3 linked regions of the Styela clava genome follow. The protein of the gene in region 1 purifies or fractionates together with the protein of each later gene. This does not show direct contact. Links are inferred from orthologs where the notes say so. Each region holds a gene or a part of one and is shown in the gene's direction. Other genes may lie near its edges.

The links.
Region 2: the proteins of tetratricopeptide repeat protein 4-like (region 1) and erythroid differentiation-related factor 1-like purify together in Homo sapiens (affinity purification with mass spectrometry; 3 studies listed by BioGRID and IntAct, counting the BioPlex papers as one, with this or other methods). This does not show direct contact. The link is inferred for Styela clava from reciprocal best matches to the Homo sapiens genes TTC4 and EDRF1.
Region 3: the proteins of tetratricopeptide repeat protein 4-like (region 1) and protein HGH1 homolog purify together in Homo sapiens (co-immunoprecipitation; 4 studies listed by BioGRID and IntAct, counting the BioPlex papers as one, with this or other methods). This does not show direct contact. The link is inferred for Styela clava from reciprocal best matches to the Homo sapiens genes TTC4 and HGH1.

The regions. Positions count from the first base shown.
Region 1 is NC_135262.1:5,476,176-5,486,816, forward strand, and holds tetratricopeptide repeat protein 4-like, read left to right. Parts: upstream 1-6,286; 5' UTR 6,287-6,349; coding exon 6,350-6,424; intron 6,425-6,721; coding exon 6,722-6,796; intron 6,797-7,510; coding exon 7,511-7,626; intron 7,627-8,013; coding exon 8,014-8,139; intron 8,140-8,473; coding exon 8,474-9,230; 3' UTR 9,231-10,197; downstream 10,198-10,641. Other genes in the region: ATP-dependent RNA helicase DHX33-like, read left to right, coding at 1-121, 860-963, 1,093-1,246, 1,878-2,046, 2,551-2,802, 3,404-3,534, 4,110-4,281, 4,626-4,783 and 1 more.
Region 2 is NC_135258.1:7,334,727-7,344,809, forward strand, and holds the start of erythroid differentiation-related factor 1-like, read left to right. Parts: upstream 1-5,135; 5' UTR 5,136-5,301; coding exon 5,302-5,531; intron 5,532-6,798; coding exon 6,799-7,042; intron 7,043-7,579; coding exon 7,580-7,697; intron 7,698-9,117; coding exon 9,118-9,253; intron 9,254-10,024; coding exon 10,025-10,083. Other genes in the region: BTB/POZ domain-containing protein 8-like, read right to left, coding at 471-630, 1,092-1,156; F-box only protein 7-like, read right to left, coding at 1,879-3,408; ATP synthase subunit O, mitochondrial-like, read right to left, coding at 3,907-4,551. UniProt on the Homo sapiens protein: Transcription factor involved in erythroid differentiation. Involved in transcriptional activation of the globin gene.
Region 3 is NC_135250.1:1,700,584-1,711,173, reverse strand, and holds the start of protein HGH1 homolog, read left to right. Parts: upstream 1-6,148; 5' UTR 6,149-6,200; coding exon 6,201-6,422; intron 6,423-7,492; coding exon 7,493-7,886; intron 7,887-8,143; coding exon 8,144-8,275; intron 8,276-8,498; coding exon 8,499-8,689; intron 8,690-9,044; coding exon 9,045-9,176; intron 9,177-10,355; coding exon 10,356-10,436; 3' UTR 10,437-10,590. Other genes in the region: uncharacterized protein LOC120337162, read left to right, coding at 1,495-3,112.

The DNA.
Region 1 (10,641 bases):
AAACTGCTAGTGGAAAAACTACACAAATTCCTCAATTTTTGTTAAAATCTGGCTTGGGCAAAACAGGCTGCATCGCATGTACCCAACCAAGAAGGGTAGCAGCGATTACTATTGCTCAAAGGTATATACATTTGGCTCATGTTATTTCAGTATATTCAATAGAAAATATTGTCATAACTTCAAATGTAAAATGAATAACTATAAAACCACAGATTTATGTTTTGATTTGCAATTGTATTTGTGCAATTTGACATACAATGAAATCATATATTTTAGATTACTCCATTTTCTACAATTTATTCATCTATATAAATCATTTTTGCGCAATATTTTATTTTAAATAACTAGACTAAAATTCTTTTGAGAATTTGGAATTTTATGGTCAAGACTTCTAACCTTGTAAATAGAATATCAATCTCCATTAATTTACAATGCTCTAATCATATTTGTTGTTCAGTATGACCCAATTTTAACATAAACTCTGTATTCTATATTTGAAAAATGTTATTCCAGAATGTATTCAAAACTGTAATTTCTATTTTTAAAATTTGACACAATTCAGGATTCAAATTAAAATAAATATACCAATATTACCACATAAATTGGGCATTCTTGCTGTTAGTACGCTTGCCCCTTACTTACCTCAAAGCGGTTCTGAATCTGTTCGTGTATTTTGGAACCTTAGTGTTTGTTCTCTGGGTTTGGCAAAATACTAATCACTCTACAGTTTGAATCAATTGGTTTTATTTTTTTTATGTGACATAAGTACTGGTTATGTATGGCACAACTTTGAACAGGGTGTCCATAAAGTTTTGAGATATTTTAAAGGAAATTTATTGATTTGTAATTTTATTTTTAGAGTATCAGCTGAATTGAATGTTAAGTTGGGTGAAGAAGTCGGTTACTGCGTCAGATTTGAAGATTGTACAAATGAGAAAACAAGAATAAAATACATGACAGACGGTATATTCATTTTCAATTTTTATCTTCCCTGTTGAAACGTTGACTTTCCTGAAATGGTGCTTGAACTTTTGACTTTAATTTTTAAAATGATTTCCAAAATAAAAAATTTTTCAACTATTGCTTACACAGGAATGTTGCTGAGAGAGTCACTTGGAGACAGTTTGTTGTCAAGGTATTCATCCATTCTGTTAGATGAAGCTCATGAAAGAACTGTTCATACTGATGTGTTGTTTGGAATCGTAAAAGATGCACAGAAGTCTAGAAAAGAGAAAGGTTTGCCAGGGTAGGTTATTTTATGTTTTTACTAATTTTTGAATAATTTATGTCTCAACACTAATAAATTGCAAATATTTGCCAAAAATTCAGATATTTATTGTTTATATTATATTTTTGACCCCTGTTTATTTACAAGGGGGTTTAGTTTAGTTAAATTAATAATTTGTGACTACTGACTATCATTCTTTTATTTATCTTTCAATCAAGTATATTTCTGCATTATTTCTTGTAAATGGAAAAACTCAAATTTTCAAGATTTTGTTTCATTTATTTCATGGGAATGTTTTTATAATGAATTCTACATTTTGCAGCATTCCTGTAGTGTGTGTACCAGGTTAGGATTAGGCCATAATTTTATTCCAATTTTCCTAATTTTAGTTCTATTACGAGTCGGCGACTGTGTTAGCCAAGTGAATATACCATACCCCCTGCCCATAGGTTTCAGTCCCTTTATACAACTTCATGTAAAGTAGGTGAACAAAATTAGTTACCTTCATATCGGTACACACACTCTGGAGCGCCAATATTTTCAGTGAAGTTTGCTGAGCTAACCTCGGATCTTACTGGTAGTATAGCTGAGCCTTGCTTTCCTGCATTTCATTATATTATAGTATTTTATTTTCCTTATGTAAATACAGCCTCCGTATCATAATCATGTCTGCTACCATGGACGTAGATCATTTTTCAAAATATTTCAACAAATCACCTGTACTCTACCTCGAAGGACGGTTACATAAAATCGATATTTTATACACAGAAGAAAAACAATCGGACTACCTCGGAGCAACATTAGTTACTATATTTCAGGTGATAATTTTGCGTCATTGACTATTGGTAGACTCTTTTAAATTGCAAATGATAATTTGATCATTTATCTTTTGAGTGATCAAAGAATTGAAATCGCTGTATAGTCTGCAAAATCTGAACGGCATGTAGAAATCTGTAGAACCGCAAAGTATTCAGACCAATTTCCCTTTATCAATGGCAACATAGTCAGAGTCAGGGCTGTGCAGTTCTTACTGGAGATATACGATAAGTAAAAGCCGAAGTCATTATTACAGACTACTCGATATCTGGAGTTGGAGACCAGGGTCGTACTCGTAGCCAGGAATTTTCACATGGGATGGTTCTGAAATTCCAGTTGCCAAGTTAGATCGCATCATCTTAAAAATATGGTTTTTTAAGAGTCTTCAAGGGTCTAGAAAGCTACGAAAATTTGCAGAAAAGTTTTTTTTTTTTACATTTTAGAACTGTAACATTGGCCTTTCTATGAAATTTGATTAGGATGATTTGTAACATTTCTAATAACAGATCCATCAAGAATCAAATCCTCAAGAAGACATTCTGGTGTTTTTAACTGGACAAGAAGAAATTGAGTCGATGTGTCGAACAATAAAAGATTTATCGATTTCCCTTCCTTCAAACCTTCCAAAGTTACTCATCTATCCACTCTATGCATCCCTTCCCAAACACCAACAACTGAAAGCATTTCACGCGACGCCTCAAGGTGCAAGAAAAATTGTTCTTGCCACGAATATTGCTGAAACGTCTGTCACTATAAAAGCAAGTTATATTTACAATTTTTTTATTTTTCTTATCCTGAATTGATGATATAATGATTCAGAATTAGATATAATTAATTACTAATTGTAGTTTATTTGTAATATTATATTATTCGCCGATGCAACAACATAGAAGCCCTCCCATCAACCTAAATTATAGTGATGCTATCAGTTTTAAATTGGGAAACATTTGTAGCACCAATTGATTGACTTTTAGTGACTTTTATTAGTGATTTTAGTGACTTTTATTTTTTTAGTGAATCAAACTTTCTTTTTATATTTATTCATATTTGAAGGATATTTTTAAAATCTGTGTTAATTTATATTGATATTTCAATGTCAAACCTTTCAACAATAATCCTCTATATATATATATATATCCATCTCATATATTGTGGACTATAAATGGAACCGCCATGGTACAAATAAACTACAGTATAGAAGACAAACACAAAGGAAAGAAATTCTGGAAAGTCTGGAAAACCTCAAATGAGGTTTAAAACTATATGACATGAAAGTGAAAGTACTTCACAGGCAATCTCACTTGTCTAATATGTGTCAAACGTTCTCATATACTTTAAACAAATACCATTTTCTTCCAGGGTATCAAATATGTGATTGATACTGGAAGAGTGAAAGCAAAGTCTTTTCTTCCGTCAACGGGATTGGATATTCTTGCAGTTCAGAAAATATCCAAAGCACAAGCTTGGCAAAGGGCAGGTCGGGCTGGAAGGTAAATTATGAATTTGACTTTAGAAATAGTCGACTTTTCCTATAGTAATTGATTGTTTTTTGATATAACCTCTTCCATGGAGCAATAGTTCAAATGCAGTGTACTGCTGAAGTTTCTGGTAGCTTTGGGTTGGCTCCAGCTTCATCTGATATGGTAAGCTTCAGCAAAACATCACTGCTCCAAGCTCTGGATCCCCAGCCCTGCCTGTAATCCATACTGCTGAAATACTATCGAAAAAATTTCAAAAGTTGACAGATATATTAATGTGATTTGTATTTTTTGTAAACATGTATATATGAATACTCCATTGATTATATTTGGGGGTACTCCCATAATATGTGTACCAGGTTAGGGTTAGGCCATAGTTTTATTCCGATTTTCCTAATTTTAGTTCTTTTGCGAGTTCGATGACTGTCTCACACAACTTGATGTAAAGTAGACGAACCAAATTAGTTACCTCCATATTGGTGCACATACTTCTGGAGCACCTATTTGGGATGATAAGCAATAAAAAATCAGAACATCCGTCCTATTTTAGTTTTATATACAAATAATACAACATCCATTCATAACAGAGAATGTCCTGGGACAGTATATAGATTATATACAGAAGAAGAATACTCAGAAATGGATGAAATGACCAAACCAGAAATACTTCGTTGCAATTTATCGAGTGTGATTCTTCAACTTATGGCAATCGGAATTACAGATGTACAGACCTTTGATTTTATGGATCCTCCTCCAAAGGTTTGTCCTTCAAATTTTTAACTGTTATTCAGTAGAAGAAAGCAAGAACACCTAGAATTAAGTGCTTCATTAAAAGCTTGGCTGTTATCGCATCGTTTCAATTCTTTTGCAAAATTTTAGCTTTTATGGTTGGGAATTCCCATTTTCACTATTCAAAGATGAAAGTAGTTTCTGGAAGGCTATTTTAAATTTTTTCTCAAGTCTTATTTGGATCGATATTTCACTTGTTTTGAGTATATCCTGTTGAATTGTGTCACCTCCTCTGCCAATCATTCCTTCAAACTCTTTGCATGTAAAGCTCTTTTGAAACTGACCTACTAATTCTCTTTATGGTTTAACATCAGGAGTCTATTGAGGATGCTTTGAATCAACTTCAAATTTTGGGAGCAATCAGTAAAAAATGCGGATATCAACTCACCGATCTTGGATGGAAAATGTCTGTTTTTCCTCTGGATCCCAAATTATCAAGGATTATTTTAGCTTCAACAGCTGCGGATAGAAGGTAAAATAGATACTTTGATTTATTCAAGCATAATTTCATGCAAATGGTTAAATGCATTACATTTTTCTTATTGTTCATAGTGTTTCCCACATTTTTGAATTTTCTGTGCAACAAGTCGACTAAGAATTGTTTATTTCATATCATATTTAATAACAAATACTATACAATGTTAATTAGTTAAATTTAATTTTTTTCAGGTGTACTGAGGAGGCAATCAGTCTTGTTGCGCTACTTTCTGTTGACAGTATTCTATATGTTCCACATGGTAAACGAGAAGAAGCTCATGCGGCAAAACAAAAATTTGTCTCTAGCGAAGGCGATCATATCATGTTACTCAACATTTATAACTCATTCAAAAAATACAAAGGAGACGCTGGGTGGTGCTATGACAATTTTATTATCACTCGTAATTTAAATATGGCGGGAAACATAAGACGTCAGTTACGAGATCTGTGTGTTAAAGCCGGAATTAAAGATATTAATTCAAACAGGACAGACATGGCACAGCTACGAAAAAGCGTGGCATCTGGGATGTTTGTAAATGCCGCGGAACTACAACATGACGGGACTTATAAGGCGCTGTCCACTGGGCAAACAGTTCAAATCCATCCTTCGTCTTGTCTTTTTCGTTGCAAACCAGCTTACGTGATTTATAATGAATTAATTTATACTTCGAAATGTTATATCAGAGATTTATGTGTTATTGATCCAGAATGGTTGTTTGACGCGGCACCGGAGTATTTTCGTAGAAGATTAAAAATAGAATAGGGATGGCCAACTTTTCGCGTTATCTCAAAAATGCTGTGTCACACGCTCGTCCTTTATCTCCATGTTGCATGAGTTAGGATAGATATATATTATGGTGAAAATGGTTGAAGTTAAGTATGTGGAGTGAAATCATGATATGTTCAGGTATGATATGATACTTGGCGAAAGGTCAAAGCAGGGGTGTACAACCTTCAATACCTGAGGGCCTGATACAAATACCTGGGCTTCATCACGGGCCTCATAGGCTTTCTAGTAGTAAAAAGCATTGTAACATCATAGGCATAGATAATGAATTTGTGACGCAAAGGGATTAGAATTACCCACATGTACCAGATTAAAGTAAATTCATTGCGCGGTCTGCGCATTCAAAACTGCCAAGTGGGCAACATGTTGCACGCTCCCCCAATGTAAAGTATTCATTTGAAGTACGATACACAAAATGTGTACATTTTTGAGACACGCATCTTCTTTTATTAATATTTGCGCTCTTGTTTTGAGCTGTACTTGGATTGTGCTTAATGATAATCATATTTCTTGTTTTTCTATGTTTATTAAAGCCAAGTATGTTTGCAAAGGTACACTAACATTCGACATTGAAAAATATTGATCGAAACATGTATTGTATATAAATAATATTTTTGTTGGATTTGTACAGATTATGTATTTACTTCTTTTACTGATCGAAATAATGCCAATCAATTTTTTATTTTTACTTTTTAAAAAACTCACACACACTCAAATAATATGTCAAACCTTTCCTTAGATTTTTAAAATAATTTATAAATCTATTACATCATAATGGCACAAATAAACAAGAGCCCAGATCCGATTCAAGAAGATGATAATGGTTTGGATGAAGATGACTTCGATAATGTAGGTTTATGTCATAGTTTGATACAATATTTTTGGATTTATCCAATTTTTAGCACCGAAATTTTGGTTAGTACTTATAGCACACCAGTTGTGCTTTATTTATTATCAACTGAATTTCCTTTGTTGTCATTTTTTGTACTATGGTGAGGTCCAAAATAAATTGTCTATTTATCAAATGTATTTTATCTAAATTGTGACCATCTTGATTAGAAACAAATGAAAAAGAATCATAAGTTTATTGTTAGTCATGACCACAGAAATTTGAAATTTTTATTTTCTCTTTATTTTTTTATGAAGTACCTAGCAACACATCCAGCATTTATGGACAAGGATCCAACTCCAGAAATGATTGAAAATAGTCCTTTGCTTCAGGTATGATCAATCAATATTGATGTATTAACGTAATTATTGTTATATATAGGCGCTGTGTACCAATATGAAGGTAACTAATTTTGTTCGCTTAGTTTACATCAAGTTGTCAAGGGACTGAAACCTGTGGGCAGGGGCTATATTCACTTGGCTAACACAGACAGTTCCCGAACTCGTAATAGAACTAAAATAGGAAAATCGAAATAAAATTATGGCCTAACCTGGTAAACAAACTACTGGAGTACCGTTATATATACAGGATGACCTTAAAAAACAAAGCCCAAAGGTCTGTTATTTGTAATAAAATGAAGCAAATTTATTCAACACTTAGAACTGCTGTTTGTGTGTGATTGTACCCAAAAGTTTTAATAATCTATGACGCTTTGCACAAAAGTTATGCTACAAATGATACGAGTTTCGTTTTCAAAGTCCTTAAAATTTATGTCTAATCAATTCATTCAATTGAACTTGTGACTCGCAAGTTGTGACAACTGAGAAGGATAGAAAAAAAATTGGGCATTTTGATATATGTATAATCACTTACTATAAAGGTCTTATATCATTAATTACCGATGCAAACTGGTTAAGTAAATATTACCTGTTCTCGGCTGAACCTTGTCAAATTTGTTAGTTCAGAATAAATTGACTATCTTATATATAACTGCTTTTTCCAGTTGTTCATTGAGATATAACTAATGTTTTATTAATTTTTACCAGGGTTTACAGCAACTAAAATACGAAGATGATGATGACACTCCAGAAACTCAGGCTCTTGCTTATAAAGAAGATGGAAATTGGCATTTCAAGAAAAAATTATATGCCCAAGCAGTCAGGTGAGATGGACCATGAGGGCTGTGGTGGCGCAGTTTGGCATATTTTCATTTTGTTATACATGAATGTAACTCTGATTGAATTGAAGTCGAAATTTTTACGGAAACTCAAAAAAGTAGATCAAGTATTCTCAACAGTCAAAAGAGACTTAGAAACACTTGTTACATGAGAATAAATAAATTAAAAGTCAAGCAAGAGTAAAATGTTTGTAATATTATTATTCGAATTATCAAACTAGGCAACAATCTCATCCCTATAAAGTGCTGTCTCTTTGGCCCCCTGTATACACACCTGTTTAACACATATACATTTTACTTACTGAATACTTGCATAGACCATGCTAAAGATGATGTTATGTAGGATTCCCCATGAATTATCTTTTCTTCCAGGGCTTATACCGTGGCTTTAAGAAAGCAATGTTCTGATAACACTCTGAACTCTACTCTCTATTCTAATCGAGCTGCAGCAAATTATTACTTGAAGAACTATCGGTCATCAATTGCTGATTCAATCAAGTAGGTTATTGTTTTCAATCTCTAAACTGATCATACTATAGTAATGGCTCTGTGTCTAGGATTATGGCAGGATACTAATTTGATATTTAACTCGCGGCTTCATTGCAAAAATTGTGAATTCCATTGACAGTAGGAACTAACTTTGCAATCTTCTATGTGACCAACAGCCACATATATCTTCTTGCAAGCAAATTTATCACTGATGCAGTTTCAATTTACTCCCAGTTGGTACCCCTTGTTCCAACCTTTTTTTTTCAATTACAATCTCAAATTTTGTTTTTGACTTGATACTCATGAGAGTTGTTATTACAATTGGACACCAAATTTTTTGCAGAGCGTTAAATATTGAACCAACAAAAATCAAGTCACTTCTGAGAGGTGCTCTGTGTTGCGAAGCGCTGGAAAAACATGATGAGACTATTCGGTGGGCGAAAAAGATTGTTTCGATTGATGAAGACCACAAACAAGCTAAAGAATTGTTAGAAAGTGCACAAAAGAAATTTAAAATTGCTGAAAGGGATCGCAGAAAACGTGAAACGCAAGAAAGAATGAAACAGAAAAAAATGAAAGCCCTCATTGATGCGATAAAAAACCGCAAAATCAAGTTGGATTTGAGCGACTTAAAACCTGAAAAAAATGAACTGCTATCTGAGGAAGATTCGTTAACATTATCAAGCGTCGATACCAGCAATCCTTCACACGCAAAAGTTCATTTTGAAGACGAATCATTAGATTGTTTAGCGGAAAAAGGCAGGCTAATATGGCCTGTATTGTTTTGTTATCCAGAATACCAAGTTTCTGAAATTGTTGAACAATTTCACGAAGATGCAACATTTGATGATCATTTGGATATTATGTTTGATGACCCACCCCCCTGGGATACGCATAATTGTTATAAAGTCGGAAGCCTGGAAATTTATTATGAGAATAATGAAGGGAAATCGATTCGCAGGGTTTCTTCAAACTGCACTTTGGGTGATGTCTTGACTTCTGAAAATATAATAGTAAAAGCTGGTACTCCAGTGTTCATTATATTGTCAAAGACTTCCACATTTAAAGATGTATTTTTGTCAAAATATCGTACAAGATGAATTTTTATGAAGCTTCTTAGTTTTCTACTGCCCATGCATGCGGTGCTCCAGAAGTGTGTGTATCAATATGGTGGTAACTAATTTTGTTCGCCCACTTCACATCAAGTTGTGTAAAGGGACTGGAACCTATTGGCAGTGGATATATTCACTTGGCTAGCACAAACAGCCCCGAACTCGTAATAGAAATATAAAAAATGATAACAAAAATCGGGATAAAATTATGGCCTAACTTGGTACACATACTACAATAGTTAAGTGGTAGACCGCCAATGCTGCTTCGTCTCATAATATTGTTTGATTGATTTATCAATTTAAAAAAATATCACTGACATAAAATCATCTGAAATGTTTTGTGCAATAATGAAACACCTATTTGCCTAAAATTTGGGAAGATATTAATGTGAAAATAAGACATGCTCATGTTTTGGGACTTTGCTCGCAAGTGCTGCCTTATTATACTGTATGACAACTTAAGCTAAATAAATAAAACAAACCTTTTAACAAAAAGTTTCAAATTTATCCAAATCGTGGTGGAACTAAAAATATTTCTGCATATCTGTTTGTGGATTTGATTGGATGCGGCTAGATTGGTTACACTTGACCAGAGGCGGGCAAGCATTGAGTCCCAAATTTGTAGGTTCAATGAAAATTTAAATGACAATTCTGTCAGATTCATGTCGCTCACGCTGACATTTCTATTTGTACATGTACAAGAACGTTAAGATTTTTGTGGCCCACATTAAGAAAAACTGTGTCCTTGAACGGAAATTTTTACCGTAGGGTCCAAGATGATTTTTGAGCTAAAACACAGCACTGGGGATATAGCCTACAGTTTCAAATTCCACTCAAATATTTTGATGGTAAGTGTGTTGCCTACAGCTGCTGCGTTGAACGTTTTATATTATTTGCCGAGACATTAATGGTTAAACTTATTACAAAAAATTTATTGTGTAACATTGACAACAAACCATCGCGGTTATTTAGAAGTCCGAGATTGGAGATTTGCAAAAAGTTAATTCATATGTGCAACCAATAGTTGAGGGTCCAAGGTTGTCGGCTCCGCGGGCCACAATAGTGCCAAGAATAGGTAAACAGTGCAATACAAAACAAACACTTTTATTGTGCAAACATAGCTATCAGGCATAGCCATTCTAGGCTAATAGAATCTGCATTCAATATTTAGTTTTCTCTGATTTCTATATTGTTAGCAAATATTCCCGACCAGTTAGATAGCCGGATAACAATTAAGACTGCCAAGCACATCATTCAAATTGCAATTTCCCTAGCTGCCTTAACACTATTTAATTGAGTGGTATAGTGATGACAGTATGTCAAAAGATTTTTCTGAATAATTTATGACGAAATGCGATTTTTCGATTACTCTCCGAAAGTGACGCGGGCCACAGATAAT
Region 2 (10,083 bases), on another chromosome or scaffold:
AATAATTAGTTAGTTTTTGTTACATATGATGCAATATATGATGAACTGTTGTCACATAATAATTTAAACTGTTAAAAATGAACATGACTTGTCGCCAGCGTCCGGAATTTTTCATTCATGGTTGAAATTCTGTCAAAATTGCATGCTACTACTAGTTAAAATGAATTTCAATTCTTCAATTTAATTACTGATTTAGCAATCACCATAATTACTTTTCAGATACCATTGATCTTCGCACATAGGTCACACTTTTTTGAACCAAAAGCTATGCCAAAATCGGTGGTGCAACATATACACTCAACATAAATGCAAACACCAGTATTCTTGTGTAGGAGAGTCCAACAAATCGACCAAAAGAAGCAGTTCCATGAAGAATGCCAAAATTGTATAACAGTTTTAAAAATTATAAACTATAGGTACCTCCCATGTGTTTGCTGAACATTAATTTTGGTATATATCCCAATGCCTACCTTCAGTACAATATCAGATGCTTGTGGATGGAAAAATTCATTCAACAGCTTTTGTCCAAGATCACATGATGGTGATGGAAGATCGGAATCTAACAAAAGCTTCGACTGAAGGAGATTTGGTGAGAGTGAACCTGTCATCTCCGTGAGATTATCAGAAAAGCTGTAATGGAAAGGAATCCACTGAATGTCTTATGAATTCTGAACTGATATTTCCTGATGTCCATTGTATATAGTCAAATTTCGTGCTTTTTAATAAGATTGAATTTTGAAATCCTCAAGATAGTCATTTCAGTCATGAGCTGAGCTCATTTCCTAGTCTGAACTTGTACTAGAATTTTTGCACATGCCACATCAAATTGGAATGCTGATAATCTAAATTTTTACGCTATTCAGACAATCACAGTTTTAGATGGAAACTCGAGCCTTCTCGAACTAAGTGAGATGAAATTTTTATATACCTGAAGCCAGTGCTGGGGCTAGCAAACTGTTCAGCTCAAAGTGGAGATACGAATTCGCTGTAATAACTCTTTGGACATGAATTGTAACCTTAATTAGCTTTTAACACAAATGATTGGTTGCTCAACACACAAAGCACTCTAACCCAATTCATATGCTACCTACCTTTTTACATCTTTTTCTAACGTTCGAGCGAGGTTCTTAGATAATTTAGTTTTAGTCAAATCCATCTTCAAAGATCTGGTGATAACATTCCAATTTCAAACACAGAATGAAAAGTCAATCTATTTACAAAACATTAAAGAATATTTATTGCTCAAATCTTATGTTAACGTAAAATTAAATAAAGAAACTGAAGTTTTATATCACAAAAATTTCAAATTAAATCAGCACAAAAAAGAAGATCGGCGAGTTATCACAAAAGACCACAATCAACATTTATCAGTAACTAAAAAATATATTTCAACGAAATTATTGCCTGAATATAGACGATTCATCAAAATCTAGTAAGATTGAGCTTATTTTCAAAACAAGTTGCCTACCAAGTAAAGTTAAAATGATCGTAACCTAAAATGTTAATGTTAAGCTATTCTGGCAATCTAAAGGTTTAGATAAAAATTGTGAAAACTTCACAGCTAACAATCTGTAATTGAATTTACCACTTTTGCAGTTATTTTTACTACGATTCACAAACATTCTAGGTCATTTAGGAAACGTTACAAGCTTAGAAAACAGCTTACTATTTGATACAATTGACACAAACGGGGCCATGTGATGGAAATGTTCCTATTTGCATTTATCCTGTAATTATACAGATGCCTACAGAATGTTGCATGAAATGAATTTGTTATATCATCTCAATTATTGCTGTAAACACACAGATTTGAAAAAAAATCACACGTAGCAGGGAGAAGAGTGTAAAGTAACAATAACATGGGAATTTAAAGTTAATTTACATGAACCCATATCTCTGGTCATGTCGTGACCTTCTTTGGCGACCTTGAAAAGGCATCGTTGGAGCCCCAAACCCTTCAAAATCAGCGTCCATCATTCCACCACCCCTTCCAGGTCTGAAACCTCCACCAGGAAATATGGGGTCATATCGTGAACCAGGAAGAGGATTATCTGGATGCATTGGGTGATTGGGTCGTGATGGGGGTAAGCGTCTGGGTGGGGTTGCAAATGGTCCATAAGGAAAAGTTGGATGCAAGTCATGTTCACCACCTATCATTCCAAATGGTTGCTGATCAGGAAATGGAACAGGTTGACCAGGAATTGGGGTCGGAAATTGGGGCCAGGGGTCAGTTTGATAATCACGATAATAGCGCTCCATGTCTTGTTTACGTTCCTTTTCTCTAACGAAACGCTTAGAATATGTTTTTTTCCAAGAATTTTCAACACTAATGGGATGGGATTTGAAATCCTTTATATACAAGTTTCTCCATAGATTTTCATCATTGGTTATGTCCTGTAATGCTTTGTTTACTTGGGATAAAGATATCAAGCTTTTACAGTCTAGCTGTGAAAATATTAGTTGTAAAATTTCAGGAAATAACGACAAAAGTCCATGAACTGGTGGGAGTTGCAACTCTTCTCTCATGTTATTCAACGCAGGATGAGCGATCGTTTCTTTAACTTGTCGATTCAATTTTGATAAATTCTTGTAGACAGCGGCAGCATTAGAATTCTTAGTGGAGGCTGTGAAACTTTGAATATAGTCTTTCGTCGTTATTTGAAGAGTTAGGACTTGTTCGTTGGTATTGCGACACGGTTGCGCAACTCCATTAACAAGAACGAATGAACCAAGCTGATTGCAAGTGAAATTGAATTTCAAATCTGGGCCTGCTGCATGACTGTATTCTACTGCGAATATTCGAGATTGTAAATGGGGTAATATGTCACTATGCTCGGTCATTCCTTCAATATAAAATCCACTCTCACACATCATAAAATGCAAAGCGATACAAAGCGCTTGAAATTCATTTTTAATAAAATCATCTTCATAAAGTTTTTGCACTAAGTGTGGAACATCAGATGAACCATTACAGTCTCTGAAAAATATGGGACCAGGTGATGAACAAGGTATATATTCTGTAGTTTCTGTTTCAGTAACTGTTGATGGACCAGGTTGATCTTGCTCAAAGGTTTCTGAAGCCACGGACATTTCAGACATCACAGGAGTAACCGAGGATGTGTTTTCTTCCACAGAAGTTTGTGAAATTCCCATAACCAATGCATTATCACCAAGCAAGACCTTGATGAGATCCCCAGATACAATTCCTGCTGATTTTAAATTACTTTCTCCTTCTCCTGCACATGTTTTACCATCCAAACTAATGTGAAAACTAGCATCAATATTTATTCCCCATTCTCCAAACGCAGTTTCTCTTATTGCTGACTTCAAAGTTTCAAATGTAGGTTGCGGTTCATCTTCAATAGTTATTATTTTCGTCTTTTTCTCGAATCTTACTCTTAGCTTCATTGTTATTTCATGTTGTCAAAACTTATGTTTTTAACCTATATTTTACCTAATATCTATCTAAATTTAAACACAAGATACAGGGATCAAATTCAATATCAATTCAAAACAGGTCCAAGAAATGCAGAAATGTATGGGAACATATTCAATCACATAGAAAAGTGGCAGAAAACCAATATCAATGCAGAAATTGACAATCATTGTAAAATACAGTCGAAACAGTATATTAAATAGGCATGAAACTTAGAAGCAATGAACTAAATTGAGAATTTTTTTGATACGTAAATTATTAAATATTTCATGCACTATAAAATATAAATTCTAGGTTGTTGGGTGCATGAGACAGAAGCCAAATTAAATACAAACATGGAATTGATAATATGATATTTCTTATCCCGTAGCATATTTGAAAAGCGATACATTAAAAGATATATCACATTAAAAATCCAGTATACTCTATAAACAAACGTCCTAAAGAAGCAGATGAGTTGAAATGCTAAATTAAACATTTTGTCTGATTAAATCTGAATACAAGGCAACTTTACTAGCTGTGGACATATCAACATATTTCATATCTGTATATTTATCGCCAATATCAACAATAATGCCACCAAGAATTGTAGGATCAACTTTTGTCGTCAGCATCAATTTTTCATTCGGTTTCAAGAATTTGGTTAATGCTGCTTCCAGATTTTTTCGTTGCTTAACATCCATCTCTGTTGCCGTGGTAACTGTTGCTGGAACTTCTCCCCTTTCTGCACTCATGATTCGAGCGTATACTTCAGCAGTTTCTCCCACAAGATTGAGACGTCTGTTGTCAGCTAATACTCCGAAGAAATTGACAACAGTGGATGTCATTTTGACTTTACTAGCAACTTCTTTCAGGAGGCCTAACTTGTTTGATGTTTCAACAAATGGATCATGCATGTAATCAGCGACTTTCTGATTCTTCAAAATCTCCTGCAATGTGGTTAAATCCTGCGCGACCTCTGATTTTGCTTTAGCTTTGGAAGCAGCTGAATATAATGCGTGTGCGTAAGTTCCGGATATTCCAAACACAGGAATTGGCGTTTTCACCAAATCTTGGCGAAGAGCCGAAGACGTGCTGAGCCTTCTACAAACCAATTTCGTAATATTCGCAGCCATGTTTATAACTAAAACGAAACGAAACGGACCAACCAACAAGTGAAGAAAACGCGTCTACAAAGTTACAAGGTAGGTAGTACACACACCTCTGTGCAAGGTCGACCGATTGAATTTTACTTGCCAGAATTAATCTATAAAAATATACAATATGATTATAGAAACAAGTTATTTTGAATACTTAATATATAAAAAGATTATATTATGAATGTATTGCTTGAAACCAACAAAATTAATCAATTTCAACATAAGGAAACATTTTGTGCTTTCAATTTTTTTTGCTTTCACAGGTGAATCTGGCATGAGTATTTGACTGTTCTGATGATATCTCAACGTCGCCCACTGGCGATCAGGGTTCTGCAAATTTTATGACGCATAGAGGCAGTAGAGGTTCTACGTACAAATATTGTTGCCAGATTTAATAATGTTAAATCACTCAGTAACATTTATTATCGAAAAAATATGAGTAATTTCATGTGGACAGTATAAAAATGATTTGAGAACAAATTCAATATACATGTTAGTTTTGTTCTTTAAAATATAATTTGAAAAGTAACGAGGTGATGTCTTTGTTGTTTCAAATTACGAAAAGAAATGGCAAGTGACATTGCCGAAGAATTGCATTTTCCGGAATAGAATTCTTAACATTCTAATAATTTTCAAGTTCCTGTATAGTCTGACTTTCGTTTTATAGAAAGTTTAGATGATTGTTGACACATAGAAGCGCATTGTCGCTTACAGTACATCTATAACATGGAACCTCCGCCTGATTGTTCGTCTCATTACATCAAAAATGATGAATATTTTCCACCAATTACCCATTCATCGTCATCCAAGCGGAATGAAAATGGCAATGGATGTACAAACGGGGATTTCCTTGATATATCGGCGAAAACTGGACATTTTGGATTTACAAAAACGGATGTTTCCCAACCATCTACAAGCAAAACACTGGACAAAATAGAAGGAAATCCCTCTGTTAGGTTAGCTCATGCTTTTGATTCTGTAAATTACTGAATTGTGGAAAAACCGCCAGCTATTTTAATCTTTATTTTTTTTTAAGTGTGTGTTCTTGTGCTTGGATTAATTTTAAAGCATCGTATCCCCAAAGCAAGAAAAGACGTAGGGTGGCTTACCCACTTTGAGGCCACGACCTATTTGCGGCCATCAACTTCATCGATCTAATTAAGGCTGAAAAAATTAACGAACCGCGACGATATTTCTCATGCGGTATCGTCCACTTGTTCCTCATAGTTCTGCGAAATTACACTAAAATGCGGCCACAAACAAAAAAGTTACGATTGAAAACTCGACTGAAGAAAAATAAAGGACCTTTTTTCATGTCGCCAACTACCCATTGTCCCATTAAAATACTTGAAAATCCATACAAATAGGTCTATAAGAAATAAAAAGATGAAATTTGGCAAGGGGGTAGAGTTGTATTTCTTTTAACCATCTTTAAATTTTTGCGCTTCTACATTTAAAGGAGGGGGAATAGGAGGGTGCGATTTCCAATACGTCGATAATATCTTTGTTGACCAATTTGCAACCACCGTGTTTTTGTCTGTTTGATTGCTGTGATGCGGTGCTTTGTATATAATTTGACGAGTTTTGTTCGAAATGACCGTGTTCTTAAAATATATGACGGCCAGAAATGCAATTAGTAGTCCAATTTTTTCACGCATGGCTGCGTATGCTCTAGCATCGACGCAGCAGAAACAATGTTCATGGCTTGAAATCCGTGATCGCACACTGGTCGTTCGGTCGCAAATACATCTTCTGAGTGTCGTACCTTGGTAGTTTGTATAGCTTTAACCCCTGATCGTAGAAAGTTTATTCGAGGTTTAGCGTGTAGAATAAATGCCAATGCACCTACGGTTAAAAAAATTAACGGGTTAGCAGACTGGCTACACCACCCACCAAAACTCATAAACGAATTTTAAGGCGAGGTTGAATGAATATTACAAAATTTCATCGACTAAAAATACTAAACTCTCGAAGTAGTCTTAATTAATAATAACTTAACTTTGAAAGCTCCCTAATAATTGATCAAAGATCTCCAGGAAAGCACTGCACTAAGCTTTGCGGGAAATTATACAATTTACTACATTCTGCGTGGGGTGGAATTTAAACTCAAGATTATATTTAATCATCTACTCTGATATAGTCGGTTAACTCTAAATACAATGCATTATTTTTTTAAATGTAATGTCATAAGCAAGTTCATAAAATAATTCATAACATTTGCAGGTCATCAGCCATCATAGCATATTCAGCAACAAAAAACAATGCAATGTTCTCCCATCTCGCTCCAGAAACAAACTTGAATCTGGCACCTTCAAACTGGCTTCGAAAAACGGTCGGACTTCGCCCAGAGACTGTGTTGCCAGGTGGCAGATATTCAAGTAATCCAAATCGTTCGTTCAGTGGATTCAGTATGGCGAGTGGCCACCTTGATAGTGTCGGCAAAGTAGATGTTGTGTCAGATGCAGAGGTTTGTGTTATGTTCACATTATATATAATCGTTCTTGAAGTAAATAGAACTTTTTAAACCATATTATTATATAAATTATATCATTCTGTCTAAAATTAGTTTCATCTGCATCGACATATCAATTGCATTGCAATTCGAGTGCTACAATTGCTGGTTTTGTAACGAACTTTCACATACTCATCTTACAAACATTAAATTCAATAAGTTCTTTGAGTTCTGTATGTTTTATGTGAGTGAATAATTGTAACCTTGTTTTAATCAATCTTTCATGTGCAATGTTTCAAGCCCTTGTATGTGAATTTTTAGAATATAGAATATGTCACATAGCACAAATGTGAAACATGTCTTTTTGAACACCTTCAGTTCCTGATGCTCAACCCCGTCCTACTGTACTTGAGAAAGATACGAGTTTTTCTGAAAATATTAGCTCATGACATATTAGTGTCTATTTGTCCAGAACCCCGTTAGTAATGAAGGTATGAACCCTATCTTGAAAACTGCTGAGAATTATAACTAACTTGTATTTCTCTTTTTCAGAATATCAAGAAATTGCTGAAGATGCCGTATAACAAGGCCCATGTAAGCATGGCAATACACAGGATTGGTAGAACCTTGTTATTAGAAAACTTTGATATAAAAAGATTCACTGCTGAGGGTGAGACTTGTATGATTGTATATATAATAAAGTCTTGAAATTTTTTTAAAATAGCGAAGGGAATTTATCGAACCCATATGTCGTTTTGGCCCTCACAGATGTATTAATAAATGAGGTAAAAATACTCAAACAATTATTGATTAAATAACAACGAACCTGGTTAGTAAGATATATTGGGAACTGACTTCATAACAAAATGGAAATTGTAAAGGGACTTTACGGACCTTTATATAGTAGTAAATAGTGAATACCTCATATTCAACAAGTATTGTTTTAATCTGCAATTGAATGTGATCATCTAAAGTTTGACATCTTATTTTGAATGTAATGTATCAATTGTTTCTTACCAGCAAAGCATAATACGAGAATATCGGTCTGAGACCGAAGACTTATGAATTGAAAGTTAGGGGATCCCCCAAAACAGCACTCTTACTCCATAATGACACCTTGTGTCCCATCACTAATTATTAATAACTCGCTAATTATACGACATAATTCATCCAAAATCAATAGGCTTCTGGTACGACATATGATGAATGCACATGCAAAATCTGGAGCAGATTCAATCTCCCTTTCGCGTGCATCTAACAGACAAACAGACAGACAAACACCTATCAACATACTTACCGATTAAAATCGACAAGTAATAATCCAGGAGTGTGCAAGTGCAATACAAGAGAGCTAGTTATAAATAACTTGGTGAAACTGCGGGCGGCACCTTTATTTAGGATGAGTGTCATTCAAAATTGGCACCTCTTAGCAGGCTGTATAATTTTTTTCTTGAGGGCCTCATTTTTCCTGCGGGTCGCAGGTTGCACATCCCTGTTATAATCCATGCTTTTATTGTTACATTAAATATAATATATAGTTCATTCTAGCCATCATTATTATGTCTTGTGACTTGTGAGAGTAAAAGGAAGTTGTTTCTGCATTTTCTTATCTGCTATTATGCATCAATATTTCAATTTATGGTCAATTTCCAATTTAAATTTTATTGACTTTCCTATATTGAAGTATTTGTCTACTTGAGTTTGCAAGTGATTATTTAATATGTAAGAATTAGATAAGATAATTTATTTTGAACTTTACCATGGTACAAACATTTGATGACACAGAATGGAAATTCAAGAAATTCGCCAAACTTCGAATGAGACTTGAAAATATGAATGCATTTAAGTCAAAGAATTGAACAAATCAAAGTCGGTTTACTTTAAATTAATGTGGTCGTCTTGAATACTATGTTGTGATTTGTGAAGGCTTTTGCTTGTGCCTCCCAGAAAACCGCTTCATAGCACCAAAAGGAGACTGGGGTCAAGTTTGAGAAATCCACCATTGTACCAAACATGAGACATTCATTAAAATAACCAATATCTATTCAGATTCCGACCTTGTCTTTCAATATTTCCTTTTAATTTTCCAGAATCAGAATGGGAATGGTTTCGTAACTTTTATCAAGAATTAGTTCAACAGCAACAAGGAAGCAATACTTTGTTTAAGAAAAAAAGTCCGTCCTCACAATATGAAAGACTAATGCTGTCAAAATTTCTTTACTATAGGTAGGCTACCACATTTTTATGGTTTTTGTTTGAAATACTCTGTCTGTGGTTCTCAAAACTTTTTTAAGTAGCGACCCTTTTTTAGATTTTGTCAAGTCTCGTGCCCCACCTCATAAAATAGCAAGCTAACAATATGATACAAATAACAGATAGTAAAGCAAAAGTATGTTTTTTTCAAAAAACACGTTGCAAATATGTGGATGGAATCGCAATCTCTGAACATTAAAGAAAAGTAAATAGGCCTATCCAAAATAAGGCAGGCAAGATCAAATTTAACAAATATTTTTATTTTTAGTCAGCTTCACGCTCCCCAAAAAATTTTCTATGCCAACTTTTATGTGTATTTTATTAATCTTTTATATTGAGAAAGAATTGTTTTATTTTTTACTGTTCTGAGTAATATGCATATAATTTTCAAAGAATAGCATCTCCAAAGGGTACTTTGTGCTTTTGTTCTGAAATAAGAAATTTTTATCATTTTGTTTTATGCATGATATACATTTAGCAATGAGTCCATATTTGAAAAAGTTTAATTTGTAGAGAGGTCGTACAATATTATACTCTTTCATATGTGATGCAGTAAAATTGGGATACTTGATTTGTTTTCACACTTTCATTCTGAATAGGTCTCTGTACAAGCAGCCATGATACATAAAAAGACCACTAAATGTGACTAAAGACCAACTATTAAAATACCACACGGATTATCTACATATTGACAAAAACTTCACACAATTTAAAAAATGATCTTACACTACCTTACTATTCCAGCATTTACAAAGATTCTTTGAATAAAATTGAAGACAAAACTCAAGAAAATGAGGAGTTTT
Region 3 (10,590 bases), on another chromosome or scaffold:
CCGCAGACCACAGTTTGAGAACCAATAGCCTAGAGCAGTGGTTCTTAAAGTATGGGTCGCGACCCAAACATGGGTCGCGGAAGGTTTAAATATGGGTCGCGACAAGGTCGTCAATGCAAGGGCAATCTAAGAGGAGAAGGAAGAATTTTCAGCTTTCCCAATGTTTCAATTTAGCTTCTAAATTCTGGTATTTAAAAATAATGAAATATAAAATTTCATTCACGGAAAGAACTGTCTTGAGCTCATTGTTACATCACAATTCTGATATGCCAGTCACGTGTATTATTTTTATGGTATCGGTAACCATGCACGTCGCTTGTCGTTGTGTTGACTGCGTGGAATGTCGTCTTAGTGGATTAAAATAACCAAAAATGGGTGTATTTTTGGTAATGTAAATTGTAATAGACGACGCAATGAAAAAGCTCGCTTCTCGACATTAGATTATTCAATATCTAGAGAAAATGTGACTTCATCTCGAGGCACCATTTACCGCAAACGAAACAGTGTGTGAACATTTGATGAGTAAAAAGTTTTATATTGCGAGAGATACCGAAGGCCAGCTAGGATGTCGTGTTTGCGACGGACAGCGGGCGCCTTTTCTGCTACAATTCGCGACAAGGCACTTGTGCGAGCGAGGATATTTGGCACTGAAGGTTATCAAAACTAAGCTCGCAATGGCCTCGATACGCGTGACAACTTGCGTATTGCGTTAAGTAAAATAGAGCTGTGTATTGGAGATATAATGAAAAGGAAATTTCAGTTACATCAATCTCACTGAGTCAATGGACTGTTTCTAATAAATAGTTGTCTGTATTTGAGTCAAACTGTACTAACACTAAAAACACATTTTGCGTTATTTAGGATTGGGTCGCGAGTATTCCTAAAACTCAAGATTTGGGTCGCGCTCGAGAAAGTTTAAGAACCACTGGCCTAGAGGAACATTAATTTGTCACAGGCCTCCTACAACAAACTTACATTGTTTGTGGTTTGTAATTTTTGTAATGTTTGTAATTTTTAGTCTTTGACATTGCCACTTTTCAATCATAAATTTGTGTCACAGATTCACTCTTTTATCTGTCTTTAGCATTTCGCTGCCGATGAATATATAATAATTCTCACCTGATTCACAATTCTCTGTGAGTACTACAATATGTACCGGCACCTAATCATCATCGTTGTCATGGCACAAATTTGTGATTTAGAGAGATTTACCATGAGAGGTTTTTATGGCCTGAATAACAGCGATTTTAGCAAAATGCAATTATACGCGATATTGCCGACTTTCTCAGTTTTCCAAAAATTTCAACAACCCTTGAATGGACTTGATGGTGGAGGAAACCGTAACTGACTAGCAGTTACATGAACCACTCCACTCTACGGTGGCGAAGAGCCCGGCAATCCTCTTGCACATTATTATCTATTATAATTTTTTTATTGATATCCTGTCAGTGTCACAATTGATTTTTCATATTGTGTTCAATTTGCTTGTTTCAGTTACGGCGACAATGGGAGAGCCAAGTTCTATGGACAAGATATTCAAGTCGAACCCGTCAGCACAGTTGTGAACTTTTCTTCAAGATGGACAAGTCCGCTTTTCAGTGTTGATAGGCAATTTTCGATGAGCTTGATTAATCTGGATAAACTGGAAGGTCTTAGAAAAATCAATTTCAAAATGGATGTCGATGGCAGCAATGAATACATAATTGAAGAAAATTATTTTTTTCTTGACTGGAAATTTCGCTTCCAAAAAACTGAGATTAATGCTACCGGAGAGGGAAGTGTTGGACAAAAGTTTGATGTGAGCATGGGGGATGACAAATTAACACAGAGAACTTATGCTGAGATTTCCGCAGACTTAAAAAATCTTACAGCCACTTTAGGTAGGAACATGATGACTACAGGTATCTCAACACAGATGAGATCTGTCGCACAGAGTCTTGATTATGAAGTTCAGGGCCACCAAGGTGGAGGTCATCCTCCATATTCTGCTAGATCTGTCCCACCGAGACCCCGTAATAATGGAGTTTGGGGCCAACAAAGTGATCAGCCTTCTAATTCTGCTATATCTGTGGCACCGAGACCCCGTGATTATGGTGGCCAACAACATGATGATCTGCCTTCAAATTCTGCTCAATATGCGACTATGATGCCCCATGGTTATGGAATTTGTGCCCAACGAAATGACGATCATACTGCATATTCTGCTAGATCTTTGCCACAGATGCCCCATGATTATGGAAATGGTGGCCATCAGCCTGCATATTCTGCTCAATCTTGGGCACCGAGGCCCCATGATTATGAAATTCGTGCCCAACGAGGTGATGATCGTCATTCATATTCTGCTCAATCTGTGACACTGATACCTCATGATTATGGAGTTAGTGGCCAACAACATGACGATAACCCTGCATATTTTGCACAATCTGGGGAACAAATGCCTAATGATTATATTTGGAACCGACAAGGTAGTGATCAGCCGTCAAATTCTGCTCGATCTGTTGCACATGATTACTCACCGGATGCAAAGCTTCTTCATGAGCCACCTGACCCGGAATCAGTTAACCAGGAAGCGCAAAAGTCATGCTCGCTCAATACGCTTCTCAGTGGTTTTGAAGAATTCGGAGAAGCTCAGTCTCTTTGGCCGGACGTAAATCCACTTCATGAGTTGCTTAACTCGGAATCAATGAAAAAATTGCCTCCCAGTGGGTCTGTCGCAACGGGCAGAGATCTGTCTATTTTACCAAATGGAAAGCTACTTCAAGAGTCACCCGCTGCTAAATCAGTGAAGATGGAAGTGCAACAATCAGACTTGGTTGAAACGCTTCCCAGTAGTTCTGACGAATTGAGCGAAGTTCTGTGTATTTCACCAGATGCAAATCCACTTCATGAGCCACCCAACGCTGAATCAGTGAACGTGGAAGAGCAAAAGTTAGACTCACTCAATACGTTTTACAGTGGGTCTGTTGAATGGGACGAAGATCTGTCTATTTCTCCAGATGAAAATGAGCCGCCTGCTCAAAAGTTTGCTGCGCAATCAGTGAACATGGAAGTACAAAATGCAAACCAGTTCAGTACACTTCCCAGTGGGTCTGAAGAATTACACAGAAATTAGTAAAATCACCAGACTCAAAGCTTTCAGAATAAAATTTTATCAGTGGTGAAATCTGAGTAAATCATCAAAGCAATTTCAAATTATAACTTGAATTAACCTATCTTTTGATGCTTTTGCAGTTCAACTCGTAAAAATGTTAGACCTAACTATGTTTATTATATGTATGTCAAACACTGAATGACCGGCACAATTTCTAATTTATATATATACAAATGTAGCTGATGCAACATGCTCCCACTTGTTGTTTATATCATGGGTTCTCAAAGTGCTTTGTACGAAGCCCCAGGGCTCCGCTAGAGTAACCTGGGGGCGCCTTGCGCTATTCGATTACTTGTCAAAATTTGACAACAGTCCAAATATGACAACGGGGTGGTAATACAAATACAACATTGGGTTCAAAATTGGATATTCTAGGGCACCATTATCTCGGTTGACAACGAGTTTCCATCCATGACCGATTCGTGCATTTAAAATGTCTTGTCATAATAATTTAATTGTGTTCATCATTTCTTGCCTTTGAATCGACATTACCATTATTGAAATGAAAAAATATTTTTACTATTCTAAAAAAATAAAGTGCTAAATTGCCAACTATAGATTGAAATTGTATTTTTGCAATTCTAAAATTTATCAAATTTGAGTTGTTCTTTCAGCGGTGCTGCTGTAGTATGTGCACCAAGATGACGCACAACCTGAACATAGTATGTGCACCAGGTTAGGTTGTTGACGAAAAAATAAATCTCTCTCTCTCTCCCTCTGTTTGCCATCTTAGTGCACATACTTGTGGAGCGCCCTTTCAGCGGCATTAAAATCTCAATGAGTACAATTTACAATTATGCAATCCTTGACCGATGTCTTCATATTCGAATGCCTTGTTTATTGGCTTTAATGTAACCTGTGGATACGTTGACTTATGTTAAAATTACCACGGCAATCCGCGGACAACAAATGAGAAACAACAAAGTCAAGTAAACGGAAGTTTGACATGTGCTTTGTCCGCAATAACAAATTGATTATTAATCTTTGCAATTATCTTATATATCGCCACATATCGAGAAAACGTCGCATGTGGCTCCGTCGGTAGTTTCAGAATGGATAAAAAGGTATATCTGGCACACAATTGACTGTGTTTCGATTTCAGTAACTACGGTATAACATCCATGAATAACCTAACATAACACCAAAGTTTGTGATTTACAATGTCTAGAAAGGCGTTTTTTATCTGTCGCGAGTCTGCTAAAACAAAACTTATCATGTTATCTTTCGTTTTAGTTTTATTATTCTTAACTGACGTTTTCAATTAAAATATTTGGTATATAAAATTTATCTGTGAAAGTTAGATTCAAAAGTTTTAGCATTTAAATAAAATAAAGTTATTTTAACTTACTCAGGAATATCAATCAGTAACTAACAATGTGTTTTTTGTTTTATTTATTTTTTCGAAATTTATTTGTAGTGCTCTGTAAAGAATAGTCAACTTCTTTGTGGGCTCCGTAACATTGAATGTTTGAGAACCCCTAGTTTATATAACCAATTTTGGGTGAAATTGAATGATTTTAAGCCTTTTGTGTATACTATTAAAAAATTTAGTCAAAGAACTAATCTTTCTCTAATACAATGGTTCTCTTACTTTTTAAAATTTGTCAAGTCTCGAGCCCCACCTCAACTAGCTAACAATTAGCTACAAATAACAGATAGTAAGGCAAAAGCCTGTTTTATCCGAAAGAACAATTGAAAATATGTGGATAAAAAGTATATAATAAAATAAATTAAATATCCAAAATGAGGTGAGTAAGATCAAATTTAACAAATATTTTAATTGAATTCACGTTCCCTAAAAAAATTGCCTGCGCACTCCAGTCCATATTGGGCATGGGATTAGCTAGCCCTAATTAATTTTAATTATGATTACCGGTACTGTTATTGATTAAAAGTATTTAAAATAATTTGGACGTTATTTGGCTTGTTGTGGCTTCTATTTGATGAGTGAAGCAGGTCTAGCCCACCTCTTCATACATCCAACTTGGCAATTCTGATTTGGCATTAGGTGACTCCAATTATAATCAGCTTGACAATATCTTTTGAAGAATACTTCTCTATCCACAGTATATTACTCTTGTTGACTAATTTGGTATCCAATTTGGCAATCCTCATAAAATTTTTGATTTAGTGTGGCAAAAGAATTTAGGCCTATTCATTTTTTTTCATTTGTTTGTACATTTTCCTTTTTACTGAGTAATTTAATTGATTTTAAGTCTCGCTTTTTTCACTTCCGACAGTATCATGTCTCGATGATTGTGTGTGTGTGTGCGTGCCTTAATTAGTTTTTTTTTTTACTTTTGGGTGAGCGAACACGTACTACTTCTTTTATCAATACCTTTCCATCTAAAATTTGTTCGTTTCAAACCTTACTCGAGGTTTTGTTTGCTCTCCCGATTCTATAATCAGGTACTTTTAATTTTGTTTTTATCTATTCTTTTATCGTATATTGCTGATTATGTGATCGAAATAAACTTAAACTTTTATAAACTTTTCAAATTAAACTTTAAATTTGTTTTCAGATGTATGCGCTTGATGTCAACTTTATCTGAAAATTGTTCACTTTTGTTATGTAATATTCATGTCAGGATTGTATAACCAACATTGCATTTTTGCTTTTAATCAAATTGTATCTATTCAGTTCACTTAGATTATGCATTTGTGTTACAGTTTTGATTGAAGAAAATATATAATTGTTCAATTTTAATAGAGGAGGCGAGTTTACATATTTATCCTGGGTGAGTGGTAAGGCGATAATATTTTGGGAACCACGTTTTCTCGTCCGATTGCCACTCCAAGTCTAGTATGGGATTAGTCAGCCAGTTGTTTCAGATGCATGGACTCGATGTTGGAGTAAGCCGTAATCAACAAGTGGTTTGGTGATTTACCGGCGGTGTAGTGCATCATGCTAAGCGTTAGGGCCGCTCACCACCGCGCATCTGAATACCCTCGGTGGGTTGGCAGGTTCAAATTCGATGTGAGAGGGATAATTATTTGCAAGAATGCATGCTGGAATGCACGGACTTGGTGAGACACAAAGCGGCATTGAATGCCACGCCACAGTTTACTTATAGATGCCATCGTAAACCGCACGCATCCTCATTCCTCGGTGACGAAGATGGCTGAGACAAAAGTTGCCCAAGAACTTGTTCAGTTCTTGCGGATTTCTACAAAGCCAGAGCTAAAGATAGCAGCGCTGCAGAATGTTGTCGGTCTGACTAATGATGCGAATGGAATTGCTTTCATTTTGAAGTATAAAGATGTTTTTGAGGTAGGTTTGTCACCGGGATACATGTTCACTAAGCGACGTAAGTACTTCTATTAGGCGTGGCACAGCCATTTTTGCATATGTTATTTGTAACTCCCACTTGGCTACGTCATCCAAAAATTACGTCACTACGACCTCACAATCACGTCAAATAGCTTGCCAAAGTATAGCTACGATCGCCCGAAATGGCATCTTCACCAACGATAACGAACTCACTAACGCCAGCGATCTCTCTCGTATCGTGATCGTTACGATGAGAAAACGAGAGAGATAGTATGCTCGATTTCGGGTGATCGTCTGCGCGTCTTGGATGATAGTTTGTAGGGCCTTTTTACGTTACTGTGACGAATGACGTAGTCAGATTGTGATTAAGAATAACATATGCACAAATGGTTGTGCCATGCCAATTAGAAGATACTTACATTGTGTTGTGAACATGGCCCGTCACCGGTATGGTACGGTACCGGTACAATAACGGTCTATATAAGATTTAGGCGCATATTTCAGTACCGGTACTGGTATTAATTTATTTATATTATATTTATATCTACCGGAGCGCTTCTAGGTGGAATTTAATTCCATGTCTTAAGGGTTGACAGCAGTATGCCCAACATAATTATAGTGTTTTTCCTGATAATTGCTTTTATGAGTGTCCGCACACCGAATTTGCGCCATGGTTTTGCGTTTGTTTGTATATTAAACCACTTATCACCTTTTCCGCAATGCCCAATCTAGCAATCAATGTAGTTTTTCATGGCTTGGTTTTTCTTGGTGCTTTCATGGCTCCTTGAGTATGACTATCGTCGCAAATTTATTACATTCCACTCCTCACATTATCTTCAGAATTCTCCATTTTTAATTTATGTTTGTTATGGAGTTTTCGAAATAAACTATCTATCTATCTATAAACTGGTAACTGGATGAGAGGCCATGGTTCGCCATATGTTTGAGCTGTGTTATCGGCTTTCCGCTCCCCCCGGATAAATATGAAATCTTATCGTTATCTTATCTCATATTGCTGTATAAACCTTCGACTAATTCAAACTCAATGACCAAACTTCCATTTATTTCAGGCTCTGCTTTCATTGCTGAAGGACAAAGTTAAAGAAGTTTCAGACAATGCTTACAAGGCAGTGATAAATTTATCAGCAGATGACAGTGCATTGAAGCAAATCATCAATGATTATGACATCATAACAGATCTTATAAAAACAATATGTGACCCAAAATCATTCCATGCTGACGAAGCTTGCAAAATTTTAAATAATTTAACAAGGACGGAAAAAGGAGCGTTGGAATTTTTGAAAAAATGCCAAAAGAAAATAGATAATGATAAAAATGATGATTTTTCTGATTCAAAATTGAAAGAACTTATAGACATTTTTTGTAAAACCAAATTTAATGAAAAGGGATCTACGTTGGATCATATTGGAACCATTTTAACGAATGTCACGCAGACAGTAAAAGGTACTTTTTCTCAAGATAATTTTCATACTTCAATTATTACATGGATTCAATAATTTGTTGCTTTTATTTCTTCAAAACTATTTTGGGTAAGCCATTATAATTTATCTCTGTTCTGAAATATTGTTGAGATCTGTGTTCAAAATTTCCGCTTTCAAATATTATTCTCTGTGGATTAGACTGTTAGAATGTTTCAAGTTTTTAAAAAAAATTTGGAAAATCAAAATTTGTGAATAAACAGTTAAAATTTCATTTTACAGGCAGGAAACTCTTACTGGACCATGAATCTCCTTTGATTGGACAATTACTTCCATTTCTCAATCCTGATTCGTCCCCCTTACTGAGGAGGCGGGGCATTTCTATGACCATCAAGAATTGCTGTTTTGATCATGGCAAGTATCACTGAATCTTTTTTTATTTTAAACGATAATGGCTATATTAGATTTGTTTAAAAATCTTCAGTTATTCCTCGTATCACAGTTTTGTCCACTCTTTAGTTCATGTTGAACAAACTGGTCATCTATTGCGATGATAATTGGTGTTCGGACAAGAGTTTTTGTATGCCATATTATTAAGTCACAAAAGATTCCAACAAGTTGTAATTTTGCAATTCAGAACATCATGAATGGCTTCTCGGAGAAGAAGTTGGAATACTGGAACATTTACTGTTACCACTAGCTGGGGGTGAAGAGTTTTCTGAGGACGAAAATGAGTCACTCCCCCTCGATTTACAATATTTACCTGAAGATAAAAAGAGAGAACCCGATTCCAGTATAAGGATAATACTTCTGGAAAGCTTATTACTTGTAAGTAATGTATTTCTCAGTGTATAATACACACTTTAAAAAATAAGGAAAATTGGAATAAAATTATGGCCTAACCCTAACCTGGTACACATACTAGGTTTCGGTGTCAGCCATCTTTGTTTGGATACTTCGGGGGCACAGAAAATTACGGGTTTCGGGCAGAAGCTTCAGTCATTCACTACCCAGTGAATTAAAAGTGATAAGACTGGCACTCTATGTTAACTTCTGTTGTTGTCTAAGTCACAAAATGTGATTTTGTTCAGTTTAAACTGTAAAGAAATAGTTTTGTGTAAGTGTGTAGCAAGTCTTTTGAGTCACTTATAATACTCGATATTACTCGGAATTTATTTTCCAGCTCTGTGCAGACAAGCCAGGCAGAATGATCCTGAAAAACTCCGGGACTTATTATATTATCAGAGAATTGCACCAGTGGGAAATTGAGAATGGCCCAGAGGAGAACGGAGAACAATGTGAAAAACTAGTGCAGGTAGGTTTTTGACATGACATTTTTCATATCTCCAGTCATTTTTACTTCTGGTAGGATCCAAGTTTTTGACTAGTGGTATTACATGATCCGCAATTTTCCAAAAACCTGATGTCCGTCCGCGCTTCTATAACAAGACCTATTTTTTTATTAAGTTATTCCATTTTCATCAGATATCTTAGAGCCCTGTTTAATATTGAAAAGCCAATAACTAGAAGCAAAAGAATAAATGCATTAGAGTAAAAAAATTCGACAAGTTACGGTCAGTATTCATTGCAAACGGTACCAGGTGAAGGCCTTTTCTCATGGCCCTCAGAGGACCACCCTGTGAACCCATACAGCAAGGGTGGGCAGGATTTTGGATTGGGGCACACAAAAAGGCGGATTTAGCCCTTGGGCCGTAAAGGGATGGAAGCCCAGTTTCAGAAGCCCTGCACAACGGCTATGCTATACTTAGTTGGGCTGAACAGATCAGTGCTGCTAAGTGATACAGTTACTGTCTACAACATGCCCTATATTATTAAATACCTTATAATTTCCTCATTATATGATAAAGCAGTAAAATATAATGCTCAGATATAAGGAACAATTGTCCCAAAGATATATATATATATAGTATATCTTCGGCCATGTCATATGATTTTGATAATCAGAGTCTTATGGCTCTAGTTTTTGAAAGAATATGTCTTGGTCATTCCCGGTTTATGATGAAATGTAGTTTTTATAATAATTGCGAGCCTACTGACGTAGTTATCCTGAATTTTCAAAATTTGGGAATCCCCTTTTAAATTTATTCTTTTGCTTACCCCAACTTTCACCCCTCCCCAATCCAACTTCCACTCTGTCCCCAATTTTATGCTTTGCATTATGTATAAGAGTTGTAGCATTAGTGACGAAACCTCAATTATACTTTTATCTTGAATGTAGCTCTATTGCGCTACCTAGTGTAAGATTAAAATAGTTTTCAATCAGAAATGCTCCCTTGTGCAGTAAAGCATAAAAATCTTTTCCCTAACATGCCAATGATGATAACAACGCTCTAACTTTTTTTGCTATACGAATCTGAGGCATCTTATAGCAGAAAAATAATACACACATAAATGGCTCCCACTCGCCTTTCAAACAGCGAATAGCAAACTATACTTTTGGTCGTTGAATTCTAATTATGCCACATTATTTCAGATACTGATAGCTGATGAACCAGAACCAGGGATGGAAAATTTATGGGAGATTCCAAATGAGAAGTTAAAACTTGATACATAATGGAGATCATACTGTTGGGCATCATTAAACGAACACATATTCACTGTTATAGACATTATATCAGTGCTGGCAAGGATCGGACCCCTGACTCGGGCTTGAAGTGGACTTGAGACACTTTTTATTCACAAGTGCTTGAAGTGACTCAAGTTATCTA